4 linked regions of the Callithrix jacchus genome follow. The protein of the gene in region 1 interacts with the protein of each later gene in a biochemical or structural test. Links are inferred from orthologs where the notes say so. Each region holds a gene or a part of one and is shown on either strand. Other genes may lie near its edges. The genes, in order: ACVR2A, BMP2, BMP7 and ERBIN.

Region 1 (6,305 bases):
GAGGGGGAAATCACCCCAGCCTAAGAACTACTGGCTTAGATCACAAATAGGAAAAAAAATAATACAAAATGAATGGCAGGAGAACTTTGTTTCATTTTTTTTCTGGTCTCCATGTTTCAAATGTATATATTTGAATTTGACCGCAAACAGCATTTATAAGAGATTCTGCCTTTTAGAAAACAAAGTGTTAACATCCATCACTTGTTAGCCAAAGTTCAAAAGATTATCTGTACTGCCAGCTCTCCCTCCAACCACACATACATTCACACATACACAGTATTGCCTAGCTAAACTGAAGAAAATGTAACATGATTACCATATTTCCATTTCCTATTTCATCAAATAGATTGACCATACTGCTGCAGCTCCCACAAAATCCAAAGGAATTCTCAACTTACTTCAATGCAACTCAAATACCACAATAGCTGCATCACTCTAAATGGGATAAACCTAAGTACTAAGGCAAGTACTAAAGTCATTCTCATACTTTAACAAACTGTGGGGAAAGATACAAATTAACCACAATGCTATAAAAAGAAAACTAAGATTTATGTTTTGAAACAGAATCTAAGGAGGTATGAGAGGAATGAAAAAATTCAAAATCAAAGAGAATCTGAAGGCACTCAAGGATGAGGGCAAAATTTAAAATGCTTCCCCTGGAATGAGAAAGAGGAAGAAATTATACACTTGGCCATATCCTACAGGAATAGTCTGCATAATCAGTCTCCAGAATACATATCATGGGATAGAATTTGAAAAATTAGAGTCCACGAAATAGTAAACATTCCTCCTAAACACCTGGAACAAAACTGTTCTTACTATTGTTTCCCATTTTGATTAAAAAATGAAATAAAATATCTAGAAATGAAAATAGACAAACTGAGAACTTTTTAAATTCTCATAAAAATAGTTACCTCATGTTTCCAATATGCCAGATTACACATTTTGTAGAAAAATCAATTAGTTGGAGAAACACAATAATCCTTTTTTAGAGTGCATCTGATCCATAACAAAAGCCTTTTAAAAATCAGACATTTTAAGTACTCAAATTCTTCATGTATAAATATGGATTAGGGTCTTTAAGATTTCAATTATCTTCAACAGAACCACAAATTTTTGTTCAACTGGGAATGTTCATCTTAAAAAGCCTATGCAACAACACAATATTAATTTAATATAAGTGGACTATCTATATGCCCTATAGCAACAAAATTACTTTATTTCAAAACTATAGCTGTTAACCTCCTGGCCCACTGAAAACAATCCTGGCCCAATGGAAATAATCCCACAAGAAACTAATGCTCAGTTATTTTTACTACCAAACCAAGCAGAGGAAGCTGTAAGATCTGTAGCAACAGCCTGCTTTTCCAGAAGTAATACCTTGAGACTGCTCAAGAATAACCTCCTTCACCAATTAGTGTGACTCAGGTGGGTTTGGAGGGAATAATGTCCACAATTCCTTGGTCAGTGGCCATGATGCCCCTCCTCCTCAAGGGCAAGAGATCACAACAAGGGATTTGAACAAGAGGAGTTCACCAGCCACAACATATAGAAGCAGGAAAAAAAAAAGAGTACTACTGGAAAGATAAAAACTACATGGTTAAATCATGTCACAAGAGCAAGAGGTTTAATGTTATCAAGGCCTTCATTCATTTCAGACACACCATTGTTTAGCTTCCTCCCCAAACCATGCACAAAAAGAACTGTCAGCCTGCCTTAAGCATGTTCCTTCTTCCATTTAAACAGACATGATTCTTTTGGTTAATCTCTGGCAATGATCGCCATTTCACAACACATTCAGCCCACCCGGAACTGATCAATACCACTACAGACATAAGACTAGACTTTATCCATTTATTAACCACAAGGAAATGTACCATTCAGCAAAATTCTATACATTACAAAAGATTCTATTTAAAGGGGGTTGGGGAAGATGGACACAAACACACATACACACACACACACCCCATAGAGGTACACAAAGAAGACTACCACCCTTTAATTTTCCTATGGCAAACGAGATAAAGACATGGCCATGAAACCTGTCAATTTGCCCCCCCCACCCGTCCCCAGTAATTCTATGCCACAAGCTGGTAACTGAATATTAAATTTTACGATAAATAGATCCAATGAGACTTTTAAAATGTTTCATCTATTGAACTAAGTCTCCTGTTGTGTACATCTGCACACCTCTGAGCTAATGATGTATACATTTATAGAATTTCAAATACAAAAGACTAGATAGTTTTTCCAACCACTGGTTGCAACCACAGAACGTTCTCACAAAATCGAAATTTCCAATATGAAATGGCCAGATTATTCCCCCAACCTTTAGCTAAAACCTATTTTATGAGTCTATTATATTCAACAGAAACAATTTCACATGGGTTGTTCTAAACCGAAAACAACGCTTCAATACAAAGCGTTTAAAATAAGTATTCCGTAGGTAAGCAAAATCTATGCCCCCAAAGAGCACACAAATGGTGGTTGAACACCAGCACATTACCAACCCCAAGCGGCATACCTCTTCTGCAGTGGGTTATAGTTAATACTCCAACAACAACTACAACTATTTTTAACACTGCTGGACACTGAAGTTGAAGAAAACGTGAGGGGAGACCCAGATTAATCTACTGAAAGGATGTACTGCTTCTCACAGCCAAAATTAAGCAGCAACTGACTTGATCTATGTCGTGATATTCACGGGTGAAGCACCAATTAAAAGATGACAAAAAGCAACCCTGGTTTTAGGGGAGCCCACACTAAATACTCCTTTCGGGTCTCAACCTTTGCATAAATTGCCACTTGTGGTATTTGCGGCTTAATTGCAACCCAACCAGCCTTGTCATCTAGTGTTATGGCCACAAAACATGACTTTCTCACTTCCACAACAACACAGCACTCACTCTTATCACGCCAACCCAACTCAAAAGGAGAAAAATGCATGGAGGTTCCCAGATCACAATCAGACCTGGGGGGTGGCAGCCGAGGGGCGCGGGGTGTGGGCAACCTCCCCAGGCTCCACTGGACTCTCCGACCCGACACCAGCCGCGGCCCCCAGCAGCGGCCGCCGCGGCCGCAGGAGCAGCCCCGCCGCGCCGCGCTCCCTGCACCTACCTGAAGAACAGGAGATAAGAAAGACGGCAAACGCCAACTTTGCAGCAGCTCCCATTTTCCCGAGACGCCGGGGAATCCGGAGGAAGTTCTCGCTAGATATCCAGTTCCCTGGGTCTTCCTCGGAGACAAACCTCCTGGTGTAAAATCAACCGTCATAAAACATATTCGGGAGCCCAGACCAAAAAAAAAAAAAAAAACGTTCACTGGGTTTAAAAAACAAAAAAAGAAAAAAGAGCACAACAATAAAAAATAAAATGCACCACGGGGGAAAAACCGCCACACACACGCACAACACACAAAACCAAACAACGAAAAGCCAACAACAACAAAAGCGGGTTTAAATCACTGTCAAAATCACTGTCAGCTCCGCTCGCCTCTCCGGTCTCTCGAAACAAAACGCCAGGCTGAGGCGACGAGGAGGCGGCGGCGGCGGCGGCGTCCGCTGCCGCCCGGACAGTCTGGGAACCGACTGGGTCCGACGTCCGGACCGACCTTCAACCCGGACACCTAATGTCTCAGGACCATTGGCGGCCAAGCTCGCGGCGGTGGCGGTCAAGGCGGCTGCGGTGCGGGGAAGGGGCGGCGGGCGGCAGCGGCGGCAGCGGCGGTGCAGGCGGCGGCCAAGTTCTGGTCCAGGCTCTGGCTCCGGCTCCGGCTCCGGGCTCCGGACTCGGCCGCGTTTTCGGTCTCCTGGCCTCCGCCGGGCTCCGCCCCCCACACTTCCGGTTCCGGCCCGAAGCTGGAAGCCCCGCGCAGCGGAGGAACGCTCGGCGGCAGCGGCGGCGGCGGCGGCTGCAGCGGCGGCCCGGCGCAGCGCGCGTGCCGGGCCGGGAGCGCGAGGAGATTGTCGGGGAAGCGAGGCGGGAGCGGGGGAGGGGTGAGAGAGCGAGGGCGGGGCCGAGTGGAGGGAGAGGAGGCGGGGCGGACGGAGGCTTGATACCGCGAGGCCTCGGCGTCCGGCCTGCTTGGGCGAGAGATCCCGCGACAAAGGGGCGCGGGCGCCTCAAAGTCTCTGAGCTGTGCTTGGGCTGTGGCCGGGCGCGCCCCGTTTGCAAATCGCGTTCCCACTGACGTCTCTGGAGCGCCCACGCGAAGGGTCAGGGGAAGCCCAAAAGCAACAGGACCCCGAGGTGGGGCGAGTGGCCGGTGCTTCTCCGAGGGGCGTCTGTGGCGCCCAGTCTTTCCTCTGGCGGGGACGCGTCGTCCTCTCGGAGACCGAGGAATCGGTGGAAGCCGGCCGTGGGAGCTATTTTCGCCGCGCCCGCCGAGCTGCCCAGGCGAGCTCGCAATCCGCGAGCTGGTGTCTGAGCCCCCAGATTTAGCTGTGCATCCCACCGCTGCGGTTTTTGCACACGCGTGCTCTCTTGGTGACTAGAAGAGCAAAAAAAACACGGAGGAAGGGCTGTCCACCCGGTCAGGGTATTCACGCCATTTATCACGATGCCCAACTTGAATTCATTCCCACCGTTCCTTTTACACACAAAGAATTGTGTTGACAACTGTTTTGTACGTAATAGGGGCACAAATACTTGTTTACTGCGCTTTGAAGAAAAAAACTGGGAATTTCGATCGACATATTTAATGATCAGACAAGTGTTTACATGTTCAAATTTTAAGCTCTTTTAGGGCCTGCTTTTACTCCTTAATCCATGTTGACTGCTTACAAGCTGGTGTGCTAGGCACGGAATGGGATCCAACAGGTAAAAATAGGATGGATCCCTACCTCAAGTAGCTTTTAGTATTTGCTGTATTCAGTTGGCTGCAGAATGCAAACTAAAGACCATTGAAAGTACTTGCTCTGTCATTTACCACACTTTAGTGAGCTTCGGGAAGAAAGATCTTGATTTTTTTTTTTTCCTTATTTTATTCCAGCACCCAGAAGTACCAACTGGCACATGATAAGTGCTTAATAAATAATTGTATAAATGACTAAAGGATAACTGCCTTTCCCTTAAGTACAGTCTCCTTTAATGTACTCTACAAAGTTTTTTTTAATAATAATAATAATAAAGCAACTGTACTATATAGCTGATTTATGTTTTACTTGTGGTTTACTGATTCCCACCTTTTCCCACAAAATCAAGTCTTCTCACTTATATTTATAGCAGTTGACTTCCTCTAAATTACTCCGTATTTCTATTAAGTTCATCCTGTAATTATCTGCCCATTTCTACAACTTGTCAGGGTTATTAATAATCATTGTGGCTTTTTAAACTCTCTCCAAGATTTCCAGTTCTCAAGTCGTGGTGCTCAGAATTTCACTGATATTTGCAACAGTTAAAATCCCAAGTCGGTATTAAAGGTGTCTGATTTCATGTAGTTCTCCCACCTTTGTGAGTTGGCAAAGGAATATGTATAAACCTTCCATTCTCTGGTTGAACTAAGAGTTTCACTAATGGTTCTGGAATGGAAGAGTATATTTTACTCTAGAAACACTTGAAGTTCATTAAAGAATGTGTTGTCAGGGTCAGGCCCCACTATTGTCTTATCTATCCATCATTTCAATATTTCTTTAATTGTGAAACCAGAGCAAGTGGAATAACTGGAATAGTGAGTAATGCAACTGAAACTTGAAAATATATTCTTTATCTTACCAACTGAATTTGCCAGTATAAGAATAAGAGCATGAAAATCATCTTTCTGTAGTATTAAAGACACGCAACCAGTCTTCACTAGAACATTCCTTTCTAACAAAGACAAAAAATAATAGTAATAACCCCAGGGGAGAAGTATTAACAACCAGTAACAGTAGCTAGCTATTCTGTTCCTAAATGTGTTTACTTTGCCCCCTCAGTTTTTTAAAAAATTCAAAAATAATGTAACCTAAAATGACAGGGAGTTTTGATTAATTCCCACTGGAGCTTCAAAACTTAAAAAGAGGTAGCTAGGGCTAACCCCATTGTCCTTCTTTTCTCCTTATTTTCTAGAATCACTTTTTTAAATCCACAAATCCAGCCACTTCCTAACACCTTGCAAAGTGTACAACCTGGTTTGGGAAGGAAAATGAGAGAGGAAAGGAAAAGGAAGCATGAATTCTAAACGACCAGAGCATCGGACATTATGAGATAAATATCTTTAGCATCGTCATTCACTTCCCAACCCCAAGACCTAGCCCTGTGGCCACTCCAATACTAGAACTTTAAGTTCAGAGTCTTGCCACGTTCAGTTGAACTGAAAATTATTCCCAG
Region 2 (6,344 bases), on another chromosome or scaffold:
AATGTATTAAGCCAAAGAAGCATCTAAAAGTGTAGAAAAAGAATTGGAGTGGAACATATTTTTGACTAATTGCTCTAAGAACTTAGGTACAGAGGCTCTCAATAGCCGCTGTAAGACATTCCCACTCGACAAAATGCCCTTCTGATGAAACAAGCAGATATATCCCACCTTAGAAAAACCACATGTAGTATCATAAAAGAAAAAAAAAATCCACATTTCAGTGCACATTAAAAAAAAAACAGGCAGCTGCTACAAATGCTTTTATCTGAAGGCTTGCCTTGTCTCTACTCAGGGCCTATCTCAGATTTAAGCACAGGACAAGAAAGCCATTGTGGAAACAATAAGATTGATTGTAGAATTGATCTCCCACGGGGATTAGATCGGGATTCAAAATCTTCCAAACCAGGCCCAGATCAACTATAAATTAGAAAGACTTTGGGCTTTGATTTTTCAATACTATCTCTGCAAACTCTGTCCTTGGCTCTGTCTAGCCTGAAACCCTGGCTTAAGCAGCAGATTTATAGAGCAAAAGCTTCCAAACAGACTTAAAGAAATGTCAATCTGCCTCCCTTTTTCTCCTTTTCTCTCTGTGGAATTCTTGCACGTTTAGCTGACTAGGGGCATGCCTTTTGCCCTCATCTTCCCCATCACTTGATTTCTCTCCAGTTCCTGGGAGGAGGAACTCTTCTGGCCGCAAGCCAGGGAAGAGGGTGGCGGAGTTACTCAAGGGGAATCCCTGGCTCCCCCACCACACAAGCGATGAGTTACAATGAGTTAAAATCAGGTTCAGAAACGATGGTACAGAAGCCAGAGTGGAAACGTTCCCCGGTGCCCTGGCCAAGCTGCCTCTGCAGGGATGGCTGCAGTCTGCCCTGGGTGGAGGGCTTCGCAGGGTAACTCCCCGCCCCCACGCCCTGCTCCGCGCCTCACCTTCATGGTGGAAGCTTCGCACAGTGTTGGCTCGGCTGGCTGCCCTCTCCAGCCGGTGGTCTGGGGCGGGTGCGCCCGGCTGACCCGAGTGCCTGCGATACAGCTCTAGCATGTAGGGGGGCACCACGGCGTCCCTGCTGGGGGTGGGTCTCTGCTTCAGGCCGAACATGCTGAGCAGCCGCAATTCGAACTCGCTCAGGACCTCGTCGGAGGGCTGGGACGAGGGGCGGCCCGACGACGACGCCGCGAACTTCCTGCGGCCCAGCTCCGGAACGAGGCCGGCCGCGCCGCCCAGGAGGACCTGGGGAAGCAGCAACGCTAGAAGACAGCGGGTCCCGGCCACCATGGTCGACCTGCAGACAGGACCGACGTGAGTCACCCCGAGTTCCCCGCCCAGTCCTCCCCCCTCGCGCCCCCGCGGCCCCGGCTCCCGTTTGGCAAACTTGACTCCTCCAGGGTGCCCTCCTGGCTTGGCACACTCGCGAGTGTACGTAAGACCGACCAAGGCTCAAATGTTTGGGATAATGAAAGGTCCCAAGTTCCAGGACCAGATGAGTTCTCGCTCCCATCCAACTCTTAACTCGTCTGACATCAGATCTGGGGTTTGCCCTCCCCTCCCAACCAAACCAGCTGCAATGATGGTCACCTTTTTGTTGTGACACAGCGCTGACAGTCAGTGCAGGGAACCTGGGAGAACCACCGCTTGGTCTGACACCCTGCGTCCCCTATACAAACCCAAATGCATAGTGCTCAGCGCTCTCTGGCATATAAACACATGCAAATGGTGCATGTGATTTCCTTAGAGGCGCTGTATAGAACTTCCTCATACACACACACACACACACACACACACTCACACACACACACACACACACAGCCTATAACTTCCAGACCCTGTAAGCTCAAGGCCACAACTTCCAAAGCCACTTAAAACTTGTGGCCCAGGTCCCTACCCTCAGGGGTGTCTGGAGAGGCCACTCAATCCCGCATCCCCATAGTACAGGTAAGACACACATGTATCTTCCTGGGATTACGTAAATGGCGAATATCTATTAATGCACGTGTCAGCTGTTAAAAACACAGTACCAAGCGATCCTTCAGTACCGACTGCTCGCATTTCTGGAAACGAGTAGGGAGAATCCCAACTCCTAGTACTTTCCTAAATGGGACATGGCTCTGTGTAAAGAAACCAAGTCTCTCAGCCACACTTGAAGAAGGGAGATCACCACGGCAGGGTGGACAGGTTCTCAGCTAACGGGTGAAAGCCAGGGGCTACCCTCTCAAAGGGATTTCCTTGACCCTTGACTCTTAAAAAAAATTCATTTAAGTGTTAACAGCTTCACAAGTATTCGGGGGAGAGGGGAAAGAAGAGGGGTGGAAGAGTGCGGGCTGGGAGGGTGAGGCTGATGGTCTCCCGGGGCAGCTTGAAGGGGGCACCCCCACAGGGCTCCGGTGCACGTGGACCTGGAGAGGGGTCTGTTTACTTCTGGCCTGGACATAAGGAAGGGCTCTGCCGCAGTGACTGCCCAGATCCCCCTCCCACCCACCCCCACCCCGGCCCCTGGCTAGCGTCCTCTACCTTTAGGAGACCGCAGTCCGTCTAAGAAGCACGCGGGGACACGTCCATTGAAAGAGCGTCCACATGGAAAAACTCTGGTCGAAGGAGCTGGCGCAAGGACCGAATGTCCGTTCCTTTTCTTTGCCTCCTCCTTCTCCCGGATGCCGGCCGCGCAGTCTCTCTTTTCACGCTGGGAACAGCGTCCCAGGGTCCGGCAAGGCGGAGGAGTGGAGGGGCGGTGGGGCTCGGAGGTGGCGGTGGCGAGGCAGGATCCGCTGGGGCAAAGGCACCGGCGCAAAGTGGGGAGCGCAAGTTATTCTCCCTGCAAGTTCAAGAACTCCCCAGCCAAGTGCTGACACACAACAACAGCGAGCAGGGGGAGGAGTGCGGGGCAGGGAAGGGAAGGAAAGCTAGAAAGGAGAAGCTGGTGCAGTCGTCCTCCTTAGGAACCAGCGCCCGTGGGACGCGTGGCCCCGCGCGGGCCGGCTCCGGGACTCCGGGGGCGAGGGTCGGGCGCTCCGCGCTAGCTCCGCTGCGGCCCATGGCTCGGAGCAGCCATCCTGGGCGACGCCGGGTCCGGGGAAGGGCACGGCGGCGATCTCGGTGCCAGGCGAGTTGCCCCCCAGCATCACTCTGCCTTACTCCAATGCACCCCCATTCGCGCTCGCCAGTCGAAAGCACCGAGGCTCAGGCGCCCCGTCGTCCTCGGGCTCATTCTTCGGCGAGTCTAGCCGAGTCCCGGGCCGCCGAGGTGGGTGACTGTGCTCTCCCCTCGTTCTCCCAGCCCTGGGGGCCAAGAGCCCTTTGTGGCTAGCCTGGGGTCCGATCACACCTCGGCCGGCGCGTCCCAGGCCCCCGATCTCCGGCAGGAGGTGCTCCGCATCGCGGCGCTCGGGTTCGGCTCCAGAGTCCCCGGCGCCCTGAGCGCCCGTCCGCGGCTCTGGCGCAGCCCGGGCAGCCGAGGCCACGGCGCTGTGGCGCGCTCGGCCGGGTGCTCAAGCCCGCGCGGGGTCTGCGACTCGCGGGTGCCTCGCGCCCCCCGGGTGATCTGCGCGGCGCTGGCCCCGAGAGCGTTAGGGTCGCTGGCGGACGCTGTGGCGGTCGACGTGCAGCGGCGGCTGCCAGTCCCCAGCGGGGTGTGGGAAGCGGAGCGACTAGCGCAGTGCGAGCCGGGCGCAGCGCGGCAGGGCGAGGACTCCGGCGGCGACGGCGGCGGCGGCGCTGTGGCGCGGCGCTCGCGGCTTTTAAAGGGGACGCCGCCAGCAGGCTCCCTCCCGGCCTCCGCCGAACACCTCCCCCTCGGCGGCGCGGGCCGGGGATCCCCGAGCGGGCGGGAGCTGCGCGCAGGGGTGTGGACGGCGCGCCCGGGCAGCCGCGGCGGGGTGGGGCAGAGGGCGGGGGCGTGCGGCCGCCTAGGCGGGCGCTCGCGCCTCCACCCCCTGCCCTCAAAGGAGAGATCAGCTGGCGCGCCGGACCCTCGGGGGACTCTGAAGGCGAAATCCAGGACAAACGCAGGGTCAGGGTCTGGCCTCTATTTCCCCTCTGGGCCCGTTATTCAACTTTCAGTTTGAAGTTTTTCGGTAATACACGATTTCAAAAAGTAAAACAGGACACCTCAATTGCAGCGCATTTTGGCATAGCATAGACGTGGGATCCACACTTCTGTTTCCCTGGAACAGGAGGAAAATTAAAAGAAACAGGAGGCTGGAAATTGAGTACTTTTAAACATTAATACATAGAGATGTATGTATTTACATATGTAAATGCATGTGTACAAATTTCCATTTACATAAATATGTGTATGCATTTATTTTCATATCCATGTACATGTAAATGTATGTTTATATAAATATATCCTTGTATCTTTGCGCCTCAGAGGCAGGCGATTAGCAGCTCAGAGGAAGGTAAAACAATGCATAGCGTGAACCAAGCATACAGGACAATTCCAGTCTGGGACCTTAGGACCTTCTACTCCACTCTCTTCCACCAGGCCCCCAAGAAGTAGAGCTGTGACACGTGGCCAAATCACTCCTCAGCTGAATATTCACTCAACTCACTCCTCAGCTGAAATATTCTCAGAGCTGCTGCACCGTGAGTCTGGGGCTAAGGGTTTCTACCCTTCCCAGGATTCCAGGAGCCCCCTTGCACAGCACCTCGGGGTTGCCCAAATGATCCCCAAAACCAAGGGCAGAAATTTTTGGTAAAGGCCAGGTTCTGCTTTCCCAGAGCTATTGGGCTTGCAAAACACAGAGAAAAAAGTCAGAATCGGGAGCTGGTAATAAAACTATTATCCATGTGTATTATTTTTTCGGTGGGGGAACTAAAATAATTCTAGGTTCCGCTCACGTAAATCGGATTAGCAACCCACAGAGGCGAATTAGGCACTTGCTGTTTCTAAAGGTATAAAGGTCAAATAAGGTATTTTGGAGGAAGCCTGCCTACCAGGAAAATAAAAGAGAGGTGGGGGGAGTTATTCAGGAACATGCTACTTTATTTCTTGCGCCCGGGGGGGGATTGGGGGGGACGGGGAAGGTGCTATAGAAATTGACTGTCACTCTAAGTCACTGGACAGCAAACAAGTAGCCAATAAAACATATTCTACATATAGACACAGTTTAAAAAGTATTTATTGGGCTTCTGAAACTACTTTTTTTCCTATCAAGTTTAATTGAGAAGTTAACTGTTGTTTCTGTCATTACTTAGATTTCAAAAACCAAACCAAACCTCTATGAGACTTCAATCAATAGGTAGCTTTTAAAGAGGAGGAAAAGTTGATAACTATTGAATGTCCCCGGAGAAAAAGTAAAAAATAAATGTCCTGTGATGACATCAAGGATGTCTTGCAGCTTTAGAACTTCGTAACTTGGTAAGTGGAAACCTTGTCAGTTTAGAATCTAAGGGAAAATGGGTAATTCCGAGCACTGTTTCATGGTGGTGTTGCCCATTGCAGAACCTCTTTTATGTAGGGTGTGTGACTTCTGAGGAACTACTGAATGCCTGTCCCAAGCACAACTTACCTAAATTTTGGCCCTATTTCTCTCAAAACCAAGGCTTCATTTTTTTTTTTTTTTTTTTTAAGAGATGGCTGCCCTCTTGTGGTGAAAATGAATTCGAACGCTTGAAAGAAAGAAGTTCATAAATAAATAAATAATCTCCAAAGATTGTATTTGGGATGCGAAGTACAGGCTGACTGTATCTACCCATTTTCCAGGGAAGAGCGATAGGCAGAAATGATAAATCTAACTAGAGACGAACTATTTTTTTTTTCTCTTCACTAATGGCTACCTTCCACCTGCAATTTAGATTGCTGGGTTATTTAATACGTTGGGAGAGTGTCTGTTTGCCATGAAAATATCACTTGCTGCTAACCGTTGTTGATTCTACCTTTTTCAAAGGTTCATTCAAAGTTTTTCAGTTGAGAGGGTGACATTCATTCTTCCTGAGTTATCAGATTTGGTGTATCTGCCAGCAAATGTGGAGAGGGGCCAAGGTGGGAGTGGGGAGTTGTTAAGAAAGGGATAGAGGTTGCAAACTCAAATGCCTCAGAGGGTACAGACAAGTTATGTATAAAAGCAAAGATGACCAGATAATGATTCCACACTAAGGAGGTCGTTACTATTCCGTTTCAGTCACTTCTTGCCAGTTTCTCAAGAAACGGTGCGAATTTGCATTTGATTGTGTGTGGACAGAACTCGGGATGAAATGAAGGGTTTACAGTCACACTTTGGCAACTTTTACTTTAGCACTTCCGCTCACATGATATTCCATTGGACTGCATTCTGTAGCCATGGCGTTCAGCATTGTTCTTGCCAGGCCAACCATTATGCAAATCAGTATTAAAATAGTCTTCTAAAGT
Region 3 (5,783 bases), on another chromosome or scaffold:
GCCCGTCTGGGGGGCTCCAGGTGAGGTTAATTCCAGATGCGAATGGGCCCGTCGCTTTTGCTGGCCTCCAACCCCCCCACCTAACCTGGGGTCACCGTATCTGCAGAGGCTTGGCCTCCTGACTCTCAGGCATCCTCATCTGGGTTCAGATTCTGCTTTGTTGCTTCCAAGCTACTTATCCCTGAGCAGTTATTCGGCCTTTCTGAGCTGGTGCTGTCGTGAGTAAAACGGCCTTTGTTTCCACTGGATGCTTTTTCTTTTTGGCTTTGAAATACTCATCACCCCAGACATGGCATTACATATATATTTGCCAATGACCTCATCGTTGTCAATGCTAATGGATAGATGGCGTGTCCTTAGGTCCATCTGCAGAGCACAGGATGCAGAGTTCGCTTCCTCTACTTTCCTCCCCTGGTTTCCGAGACCCCATACTCTGTTGGTGTCTCCATTTCTCCTGCCCAGGCTTCTTCTGGATCCTTCCTTACTGGGTACTCCTGCACAGTCTCCGTGGCATTCCTCTGACCCTCAGTGGAAGACAGAGGCCACCTAGGCTCAGGCTTCACACCGCTCGTCTGGCTGCATGTTTTCGCCTGGCAAGCTCATCCAGTCCTGGCTTTAAACCCCATCTCCAAGCTGGGGACGCCCAAGCTTACATCACTATCTAGACCACTGCCCCGAGCCAGCATTTATTGAGCATTTAGGGTATGCAAAGCTCTGCCCTGAGCCCTAGCTGAGCATTAAGTGACAGAGGCAGGGTTTTGAACCCAGGATGTCTGGCCCGGGCCCCACTCCCTCCCTCACTAGCCCAGAGCTCTTCTTTTCCAGTTGATCCATTGATCAAGCCTAGGCCAGATCTCTGCAGCCCACCTGACAGCTTCCTTTTGGTGTCAAGTAGGGATTTCAGACAATATCTACTAAAGCAAACTGCATTTTGTCTTCCACCCTCTATTTCTCAGCTTATGCTCCATTGCCTCTGTTTCCCTACGTTGGTAGACAGCCCCTCCCTTCTTCTGGGGCCTTGGGCCAAAAGCATGCCAGTCTCATAAGAGTCCCCTTTTTCTCACACCTTTTATAATCCCTCCCAAAATTCAGTCCCAAATCTCCCCTTTCCTAGTTTGGAGGTTGTGTGCTGGTTATTTGAAATGTCACCTTTGGGGAAAACTGGATGAAGGGCACTTGGGACCTCCCTGTACATCGTCTTTCAATGAACTGTGAATCTATAATCTTTTCACAACAAAAAGTTAAAACCAAAATAAATTCTAAAGATGGATTTTAAAAGTGAACTCTTGAGGATCTAGCCATTTCTCAACAGCCTCCCTCCCCACCATCCTGGGTCCAGTCTCACGCCATCTCCCATCTGGACAATGCTGTTGTCTCCCTTTCAGGTTGACTCCTGCAGTCGGCTCTCCAGGGATAGGCTGAGTGGCCTTATAAAAACCACTGTAAGTCCCACCCTCATGGTTCTCACTTCTTGCAGAGTGCCTCAGTGTCCTGACCAGGGCCCTGGATGTGAAGTTCCACCCACTGGGTGGCCTGAAACACAACGCTTTATTCTCTTACAGTCTGGAGGCGAGTGGTCCAAAGTCGAGGCCCACAGGGCTGTCCCCTTACAAAGGCTCTAGGGAGGAGTCGCTCCTTGCCTCTTCCAGCTTCAGGGGCTCCTGGCAATCTTTGGCATTTCACAGCCTCTGTCTTCCTAGGGCTGTCTGCGTCTGTTTCTTTATGTGGCCTTCTTATGAGTCAGCAGATTAAGGCTCATTTTAATCTAGTATGAGCTTAACTGACAACAGCACATCTGCAAAGACCCTGCTTCTAAATGAGTTCACATCCTGAGGTTCTGTGTGGGTATGAATTTTAGGGGACAGCAGCAACGTGGGACAGTGGGCTGAGGTGGTGCTCGTGTTGCTCACAGGACCTGACCTGACCCACGCCCCTCCTGCCCCTCCCAGTTGTTCCTGCTACCCGCCCCTGCTCCTTGAGCACACCCTCCCCTCTCCTGCCTCTGGGCATTCACCTCTGCAGTTCCCTCTGCCTGAAATACACTCTTCCCAGACATCCAATGGGCCCCCTCGCTCACTGTTACCCAAATCTCTGCTCAGGTGGCCCCCGTAGTCATTAGAGCTGCTTGCAGCTGCTCCACCTTCCCTGGCACAGAGCAAGATTGCCCCCCAACTCCCTGAAGTTAGGCAGATACCATGACCTGCTCTGGCCAATGAAATGCGAGTGACACTTACGGGGTTCACTAACTTGCCACCTTCCGCAGGCATCATCCTGGCTCCCCACCCCTAATATTCCCCTCCCTGCCTTCCCCACTAGCATGGAAACCCAGAGAACAGGACGTTTTCTTGGCTGTGTTTGCAGTTGTGGTCCAAGTTTCTTAAACAGCACATGGCCTAGAGTGAGTACTCAATAAATACTGGCAGGATGGAGGAATAAGGAGTTCACGAATGAACCGGAGGCACGGTGTCTTGGCAGCCCCGTCCTGCTCTCCGCCCTCCCGTGACCACTCTCCCCTGTAACCGCTCTCCCTGTAACCGCTCTCCCCGTAACCATTCTTCCGTGTACTTGGCTGCTTCCTGTCCAGGGCAGAGCATCAACCCCAAGTTGGCCGGCCTGATCGGGCGGCATGGGCCGCAGAACAAGCAGCCCTTCATGGTGGCTTTCTTCAAGGCCACAGAGGTCCACTTCCGCAGCATCCGGTCCACAGGGAGCAAACAGCGCAGCCAGAACCGATCCAAGACGCCCAAGAACCAGGAAGCCCTGCGGATGACCAACGTGGCAGGTACACCCAGGTGGGAGGGATCACAGATGCCCCACCCCACCCCCCAGGAACCCTGAAGGGCCCCAGCGGGACCAGGCAGGGGAGCAACTCAAAATCCATTCAGCTGCTCAGCAGATGGCTGTGGAACAAATAGCAGGAGGAAAACCCCCAAGTCCCTCCCTACACAGAGCATCTTAATTCTGTAAAAGTCATAAATTAGCTTAGAAATGCTAGTAGCAAAACATTTAACGCAGCACCAAGCATGTAGATATTTAAATAGACAGAATAATGGCTGAACTTACAGCTACACAGAGATGAAGGAAGACTCTGAAGGAGGGAGAGGAAGAAATGGGGAAGTGGAAGAGTTTGCTGTATCTTTATTTCATAAAGTGAAAATGTTTTAAATTCATGGCAAATTTTAATACTTGATAAATATAGATGGTAGGTGTTTGTTTTGATTTTGTTTTTGAGACAGAGTCTCGCTCTGTCACCCAGGCTGGAGTGCAGTGACGCGATCTCAGCTCACTGAAACATCTGCTTCCTAGGTTCAAGCAATTCTCCAGTCTCAACCTCCTGAGTAGCTGGGACTACAGGTGCGCACCACTGCATCCAGCTAATTTTTGTATTTTTAGTTGAGAAGGGGGTTTCACCATATTGGCCAGGCTGGTCTCGAACTCCTGACCTCAAGTGATCCACCTGCCTCGGCCTCCCAAAAATGCTGGGATTACAGGCATGAGGCACTGCTCCTGGGCAGGTGGTAGGTTTTAAAAAATATATATGATTTGGGATACTTTTCAATTCGTTTGAAATGTTTCTCTACTATATGTTTTTTTAAAAAATTAAAGATAACATTTTCGTTGCAAGCAATTCAAGTCTTAACAGTAAACATAAGTAAAGCGAACGCACTGTACAAAGGAGACTTCAGCCCCTCTAGAGCAGACCTCTTTCAGCCCGTCAGGTTGTGTGGTTCTTGAGGTTCTGGGGTAGATGACCTCCCACTTCACAGAGGGGAAAACTGAGGCTCCAAGAGGGTACGTCGTTTGTCTAAGGACACAGTGTAGGTAAGTGGCAGCCCTGGGATTGGGTCCCTGGGGTCTGGATGAACCCTTGCCCCAGGTACTCTTCCCTGTTGGGCTTTGCTGGGGCCATCTGCCTGGCCAGGATGAGCTTTGGTGTCCTCAGCAACTCCATCAAGTGCTTTCTGACAATTCTCCAGGCGTTTGTGGAGCCCCCACATGGGCCTGGCTTTGTCCCAGGCACTGGGGCTGTGGCTGTGATGAATCCTGTTCCGCATAAGCTGATTGGGGAACTGATATTGACAGCTTCTTGTGACCTGGGGCTGCTGGAATCTCAAGAAGGTGTGTTCTGGTTCTGGGCTTTGCGGGTGGGCTGACCTGGAACAGCCCTGCTGGCACTGTGGGCGTGTGTGGACAGCCCTCCCACACACCTTGCCCAGCTTATACCCCCTGCACATGCAGTGCCAGGTCTGCCAGAAGATGCAACTGGACTCCTCCCAGACTAAAACCAAAGTGTCGAGTCAATGAACCTGACAACAAACCATTTTCCAGTGGGCTGGATGAGTGACACCCCCCAGATCCAAGGAGCCAAGTTTGCTCCCATCCCCAATCCCATCCCACTGGACAGGGAAGGTGCTGCCCAGAGGTGCCATTTCTCTGGCTCCTCGGGAAGCCAGTTGCAATGAGCAGGGCAACAGCCTCTCCAAGATGCCAGTGTCTTAATTCCTGGAACCTGTGAATATGTCACCCTCCAAGGCAAAGGGGAGTTAAGGCTGCCCACGGAATCACAGGTGCTAATCAGCTGACCTTCCAATATGTGGGCTCTGTGTAGCAGGCGGTCCCATCAGTCCCTACAGGAGAGAGCCTTTGCGAGCTGTGGTCGGACCCATGTGAGCACAGAGGACAGGGAGGTAGAGATGAGCGGGGCTGCCAGCCCTGGGAAGCTGCACAAGGCAAAGATGGGATCCTGCCCTAGAGCCCCAGAAGGAGCCTGTCCTGCCTATACTCGCACTTACCTGCTGAGACGTGTTGGACTTCAGAGCCACAGAGCTATAATCCGGTTGTCTTGTTTTGAGCCACAGTGTGTGGTAATTTGTCAAAGCAGTGATAGGAAAGAATACATCTTTGTCGGCAAAGTGACTTTCTTTTCCTTTTTTTTTTAATTTGGAGACAGGGTCTCACTCTGTTGCCCAGGCTGGAGTACAGTGGTGTGAACATGGCTTACTGCAGCCTTGACCTCCTGGGCTCAAGCTGTCCTCCCACCTGAGCCTCCCAGGTAGCTGGGACTATAGATGCACGGCCACCACACCTGGCTATTTTTTGTAGAGACAGGGTCTCCCTGTATTGCCTAGGCTGGTCTCAAACTCTTGGGCTCAAGCTATCCTCCCGCCTTGGCCTCCCAAAGTGCTGAGATTACGGGCATGAGTTACTTCTCCTGGCCTCCTCAGAGTGCTTCTCTCACCCTGCTAAGGAGCTGGGCCACCACCGTCTGGGGCCGGCTCAGGAGTTGTATCTGGGTCCAGGTTGATCACAGAAAAAGGTTGATAGAGGTGCAAACTGCTGGCTACATGGGGAGCTCTGAGCTGCTTTCAGCTCTGGGGCCTGTGCTTGGACTCAGGAAGCATTTGAGGGGAGCAGGGGGCTCCTGAGAAATGTCCTGGTGAGGGATCAGCAGCAGCCCCACTCCCAAATTAACCCTCTGGTACCAATAGCTTCTTCTTCCTCGTCACCTAGCCTAGCTTGAAATTTATGTTCATTTTACTTTTCAAGGGAGAAGGCAGGTCAGCTGGGTTAGTGGCCTTTTTGAGATAAGGCTTCCTGACCCCTGGTGAGTCCCCTGGGGTCCCCAGATGGACCTCAGTGGGTCTGTGTGGCCCCGAGTGTGTGGGGGGATTCTGTGTGTTTTCTTTTCTGGCAGGTGGATCCATTTTCCCAGGGTTCTGAAGGGGTCTGTGATCTCCCAACTCAAAAACCATCTGAATTCCTTCATTTGTATTTGAATCCTC
Region 4 (5,783 bases), on another chromosome or scaffold:
ATTTTCATTCTGTCGCAAAACTTTTTTTTTTACACTCTATCCAACCTCTGACAGCGATTTTTCATTTAAGAGAATCTCAGACTCTTAGAGATAAAATGGATCTTGAAGGATATCTGTCCATTCCCTCACCCCTCCCCTCCAGCACCTGAGTATCTTTACATCATCTTCCTCAAATGTTTAGCCTTTTGTCTTTATGACATCAGTGATGCTTGTTATCAAGGTGGTCATTAGATAGCTCGGGTTCATAATACTTGTAGTAATGATACCTAGAATTGGTTGAGCACTAATTGCTTCGGTACTATGCTGAATATTTTACGTGTTATTATCTAATTGTCACAGTAGCCCCCATGATAAGGAAGAGGAAAAGGAGTGTATCTAAGAAAGAACTTAACCATCTATTTTAATGATATTTTAAAAGTTAAGAACCCAAAACCTGAATACCTTGAGATCAAAGTTACAGAGTCCCATTTGCTACTGTTAACTGTAAATACAATCCAAACTACTTTATCTGTGCTCCTAAAATCTCAGAACATCAAAGATATTTTTAATTCATATAATCTTTTATGGATATGTCTGTATACACTGTTTCCATGATTTGGCTAGAATTGAGTTAGTTAAAAACATTTTTGGCACTACTTTGAGAAAAATACTACTTTTTATACTACCTGTCTATTAAAGAATATGAACACTTATCTGTTTCTGTTCATATAATTGCTATACACACAACCACCTCACATATTGAGAGTTTACCATTCATAACAAGTCTATGAAATGTTTTTAAAACATTAAGAAATGAAAGAGCTGACCTTTGAAAATTTCTTGATTGGTGATTGTGTGTTTGTGGATTGACGGCTTATTATCAGAGTAGATGGCAAAAAATTCCTTATGTATAAAATAATTTCTTGCCCAGACAAGTTTACAAAGGTTATAATCTATGTTTTTATTATCAGTTTTTAAAATTGTAAATGGGTGAAAAGTATACTTACTGAAATTGACTGTAGAAAACAGTACATAATATCACCTTGTCAGTAACTAAATTGAATTCTTAATAACTCCAACATTGGTTACTTTTAAAAAATGATATCACCATTTAAAAATTCTTTAATCTTTGTAGTAGGACTGACTTTTCAGGGTGCCTCTGATTATCATCAATATAATTTATTACCTCGTATAGAATCAGGACAGTATAATTGCCATTTGTCATCACTGAAAAGCATTTCACAAAATTCTTGGCTAATTTATCATTGATCTTAAATTTGTTTTGTTTCAGATGATACAAAGGAAATAGATTCCTTATCCGATGAAGTTACACACAATAGCAATCAGAATAATAGCAATTGTTCTTCTCCATCTCGGATGTCTGATTCAGTTTCTCTTAATACTGATAGTAGTCAAGACACCTCACTCTGCTCTCCGGTGAAACAAACTCATATTGATATGAATTCCAAAATCAGGTATGTGAGCATCTTTTATGATTTTTCATTTGTACAGTAAGTAGAAGTGGTAAGGCAGGTAACAAATACATAAACATAAAGGATTTCATAAATAAATTTTATAGAAGTGGTTCGAGTAATATGTTTTCTTTCCCCATTTTTATTGCTGATTTTCTATTTACTTTTTATATATTTTCATTCTAAATTAGATTTTTAAATGGGATAGACTAGATTCTCAGTCTCTTGATTAAAAAGTTGAATATTTATATAATTTTTAGGTATGGCAACATAAACAGCATAGTTGAGGTAATTTAAGTTGAAAGGAGCATTTTTATAGTTAGAAATGCAGAATCATTTTGGAGGGCTGTACCTTAGAAGGTTCAAATACTCAGCCAGGCGTGGTGGCTCACGCCTATAATCCCAGCACTTTGGGAGGCCGAGGCGGGTGGATCACGAGGTCAAGAGATTGAGACCATCCTGGTCAACATGGTGAAACCCTGTCTTTACTAAAAATACTAAAATTAGCTGGGCATGGTGGTGCATGCCTGTAGTCCCAGCTACTCAGGAGGCTGAGGCAGGAGAGTTGCTTAAAACCAGGAGGCAGAGGTTGTGGGGAGCCAAGATCACGCCATTGCACTCTAGCCTGGGTAATAAGAGCGAAACTCCATCTCAAAACAAAACAAAACAAAAAAAACAACAACAAAAAAAAGAAAGTTCAAATACTCTTGACTGGTGTTGTGTATTTGACTTAGGCTTCATTTTGTAGGACACACTCACTGAGAGAGAGAGAAATGTTAATTTGTGTAGCCTGGAATTTAGCTGATGTCTAAAACATGTTTTATTGTTTAGGCCCTTGAGAAAGTTGGTTGTGTGTAATGTTGGCTATGGGTTTGAAAGAAAAAAAGAAAAGAAGAAATTTGGTTATCAGAGTAAGGCCCTGCCATTCTACCATCATGTTATCCTATCAGCTAAACTCTGCTTGTTAGAAAGATGGGAGTTGGCTGGGCTGGACGCAGTGGCTCAAACCTGTAATCCCAGCACTTCGGGAGGCTGAAACAGGAGGATGGCTTGAGCCCAGGAGTTTTAGACCAGCCTGGGCAACATGGTGAAACCCCGTCTCTACCAAAAAAAATACAAAACTTAGCCACATGTTGTGGCACATGCCTGTAGAACCAGTTACCTGGGAGGCTGAGGTGGGATGTGGAAGTTGTCGTGAGCCCTGATCATACCACCACACTCCAGCCTGGGTGATAGAATTAGACCTTGTTTCAAAAAAAAAAAAAAAATTGGGGTTGGCTTGATGTGGTGGAACACGTGTAATCCTAGCACTTTGGGAGGCTAAGGTGGGTAGACTGCTTGAGTTCAGGACTTCAAGACCAGCTTAAGCAAATGGTGAAACTATGAATGTATAAAAAAATTAACCAGGTATGTTGGCATGTGCCTGTAGTCCCAGCTACTCAGGAAGCTGAGGTGGGAGGATAATTTGGGCCCGGGATGTTTAGGCTGCAGCAAGCCATGATCAGGCCACTGCACTCCAGCCTGGGTGACAGAATGAGATCCTGTCTCAAAAAAAGAAAGACTGGCGTTACTACTAAACCAAAAGTTTGGTGTATGGAAAATTTTAACAATTATTTATAGTTGTTCTTAAATTTCAGACATATTTAAGTAAAATTTGTTTATTAATGTGTGTTTTTGGAAAAGGGAGATGAATTTTATGCCTGAAAATGAGTTAAGATGTTGTATAGTTATAATCACAGTCATTTTTTTTCTATTCTCTGAATTTGAGGCTATGAGCTCCTGTTTAAAATACTAATTTTTATAACCTCCTAGATGTTATAATATTAATTTGTTGAATAATAAAATTCTATTTATTTATTGTTGGGAAAGTGGTATGGTATTTTCTAAATTCTGCTTTTAATATAATAGAGCCTAAGCAAGAAGTACAGCAACACCTTTTTGTGCTGTATTTCTAGTAATGAAAGTTATCTTTTTTGTAATGGGAAAACCAGTATTAGGGAATTTTTGTGGAAACGTAACTTGAATATGTATACAAGAGGACACAAATATGTTCAATACCACCAGGTAAAAATAAAGTATTTTCTGTAATTTTGGAATGACATATTTAAAAGTATTTGCGAAATACAGCTAGCTACTTAGAAGAGTGATTAGACTTCATTTATCTTTTATGCCTTTTACATATTTTATGTAAAACTTTGGACAATTATTCATTTCTTTGATTTGTACAATTTTCTTACCTATATATTTGAATGTGATAACTATAGTTAACTATGGTTAATTTGGTTAATAATGTAAAGCTTCAAAATTAACTGTAAAATTGTCCTATGCTCATGACTCCTCTATTCATGTTACTAGTTTTCTATTCATATATCTGCCCTCCATCAGGCATTTCGTTTTTTGCACATTCATGAAAAGATGTAGCAAAGATTAATAATTCCACTTTTGTTCATAGTTAAGTCCTTTAAATTATTTTGAGACAGACTGAGTGTATTGATGAAAATTAATTTGGGTATTGTCTATGAATTTTAATTGTATTATTTGTCTCCAACTGAATATAAAGCTATATTAACTATTAAGCTAATATTTTGTAATTATATGATAATAAATGCCTTTTATCAACTTGTCTACCTATACAGTTTAACTATTTATTAATATTCCCTGTTACTAAGAAAACTTGGCTTTATTATGTTTTTCATAAAATTATCTTTATTTTAGGCAAGAAGATGAAAATTTTAACAGCCTTTTACAAAATGGAGATATTTTAAACAATTCAACAGAGGAAAAGTTCAAAGTTCATGATAAAAAAGATTTTAACTTACCTGAATATGATTTGAATATTGAAGAGCAATTAGTTCTAATTGAGAAAAGTGTTGATTCAACACCCACAGCTGATGACACTCACAAATTAGATCACATCAATATGAATCTTAATAAGCTTATAACTAATGATACATTTCAACCAGATATCATGGAAAGATCAAAAACACAGGATATCACGCTTGGAACAGACTTTTTAAGCATTAATTCTAAAGAGGAAACTCAGCACTTGGAAAATGGAAATAGGTATCCTAATCTAGAATCCGTAAATAAGGTAAATGGACACTCTGAGGAAACGTCACAGTCTCCTAATAGAACTGAACCACATGACACTGATTGTTCTGTTGACTTAGGTATTTCCAAAAGCACTGAAGATCTCTCCCCTCAGAAAAGTGGTCCAGCTGGATCTGTTGTGAAATCTCATAGCATAACTAATATGGAAATTGGAGAGCTAAAAATCTATGACATTCATAGTGATAATGGACCTCAGCAGCCAAATACAGCAGTTAAAATGACATCTGCTGTCGATGGAAAAAATATAGTCAGGAGCAAGTCTGCCACATTGTTGTGTGATCAGCCATTGCAGGTATTTATCGGTTCTTCGTCATCTTCTGATTTAATATCAGGAACAAAAGCAATTTTCAAGTTTGATTCAAATCATAATCCCGAAGAGCCAAATACAATAAGAGGCCCCACAATTGGCCCACAATCTACACCTCAATTATATGGTCCTCCACAGTATAATATCCAATATAGTAGCAGTGCTGCAGTCAAAGACACTTTGTGGCACTCCAAACAAAATCCCCAGATAGATCATGCCAGTTTTGCGTCTCAGCGCCTTCCTAGATCAGAGAGTACAGAAAATCAAAGTTATGTTAAACATTCTGCCAATATGAATTTCTCTAATCATAACAATGTGCGAGCTAATACTGCATACCATTTACATCAGAGACTTGGCTCAGCCAGACATGGGGAAATGTGGGCCATCTCACCAAATGACCGACTTATTCCTGCAGTAACTCGAAGTACAATTCAGCGACAAAGTAGTGTGTCCTCCACAGCCTCTGTAAATCTTGGTGATCCAGGTCCTACAAGGCGGGCCCAGATTCCTGAAGGAGATTATTTATCATACAGAGAGTTCCACTCAGTGGGAAGAACTCCTCCAGTGATGCCAGGATCACAGAGACCTCTTTCTGCACGAACATACAGCATTGATGGTCCGAATGCATCAAGGCCTCAGAGTGCTCGACCCTCTGTTAATGAAATACCAGAGAGAACTATGTCAGTTAGTGATTTCAATTATTCACGGACTAGTCCTTCAAAAAGACCAAATGCAAGGGTTGGTTCTGAGCATTCTTTATTAGATCCTCCAGGAAAAAGTAAAGTTCCTCATGATTGGAGAGAACAGGTACTTCGACATATTGAAGCCAAAAAGTTAGAAAAGGTAATTGAACATGAGTTTTTCACTCTTTTCCTTATGAACTTAATTATTTTTCTTAAAAATAATTGGCATTC

The links.
Region 2: the proteins of ACVR2A (region 1) and BMP2 form a complex in vitro, tested with the Homo sapiens proteins (3 studies listed by BioGRID and IntAct, with this or other methods). The link is inferred for Callithrix jacchus from reciprocal best matches to the Homo sapiens genes ACVR2A and BMP2.
Region 3: the proteins of ACVR2A (region 1) and BMP7 are reported together in a solved structure, tested with the Homo sapiens proteins (2 studies listed by BioGRID, with this or other methods). The link is inferred for Callithrix jacchus from reciprocal best matches to the Homo sapiens genes ACVR2A and BMP7.
Region 4: the proteins of ACVR2A (region 1) and ERBIN interact in a test that uses a peptide from one of them, tested with the Homo sapiens proteins (2 studies listed by BioGRID and IntAct). The link is inferred for Callithrix jacchus from reciprocal best matches to the Homo sapiens genes ACVR2A and ERBIN.

What each region holds. Positions count from the first base shown.
Region 1 is NC_133507.1:82,530,379-82,536,683, forward strand, and holds the start of ACVR2A (activin receptor type-2A), read right to left. Parts: upstream 3,836-6,305; 5' UTR 3,610-3,835; intron 3,285-3,609; exon of another isoform or gene 3,252-3,284; 5' UTR 3,173-3,251; coding exon 3,118-3,172; intron 1-3,117. UniProt on the Homo sapiens protein: On ligand binding, forms a receptor complex consisting of two type II and two type I transmembrane serine/threonine kinases.
Region 2 is NC_133506.1:14,044,173-14,050,516, reverse strand, and holds the start of BMP2 (bone morphogenetic protein 2), read right to left. Parts: upstream 3,709-6,344; 5' UTR 2,510-3,708; intron 1,284-2,509; 5' UTR 1,277-1,283; coding exon 931-1,276; intron 1-930. UniProt on the Homo sapiens protein: Growth factor of the TGF-beta superfamily that plays essential roles in many developmental processes, including cardiogenesis, neurogenesis, and osteogenesis. Induces cartilage and bone formation.
Region 3 is NC_133506.1:52,767,594-52,773,376, reverse strand, and holds part of BMP7 (bone morphogenetic protein 7), read left to right. Parts: intron 1-2,584; coding exon 2,585-2,782; intron 2,783-5,783. UniProt on the Homo sapiens protein: Growth factor of the TGF-beta superfamily that plays important role in various biological processes, including embryogenesis, hematopoiesis, neurogenesis and skeletal morphogenesis.
Region 4 is NC_133503.1:143,450,381-143,456,163, reverse strand, and holds part of ERBIN (erbin), read left to right. Parts: intron 1-1,270; coding exon 1,271-1,454; intron 1,455-4,166; coding exon 4,167-5,712; intron 5,713-5,783. UniProt on the Homo sapiens protein: Acts as an adapter for the receptor ERBB2, in epithelia. By binding the unphosphorylated 'Tyr-1248' of receptor ERBB2, it may contribute to stabilize this unphosphorylated state.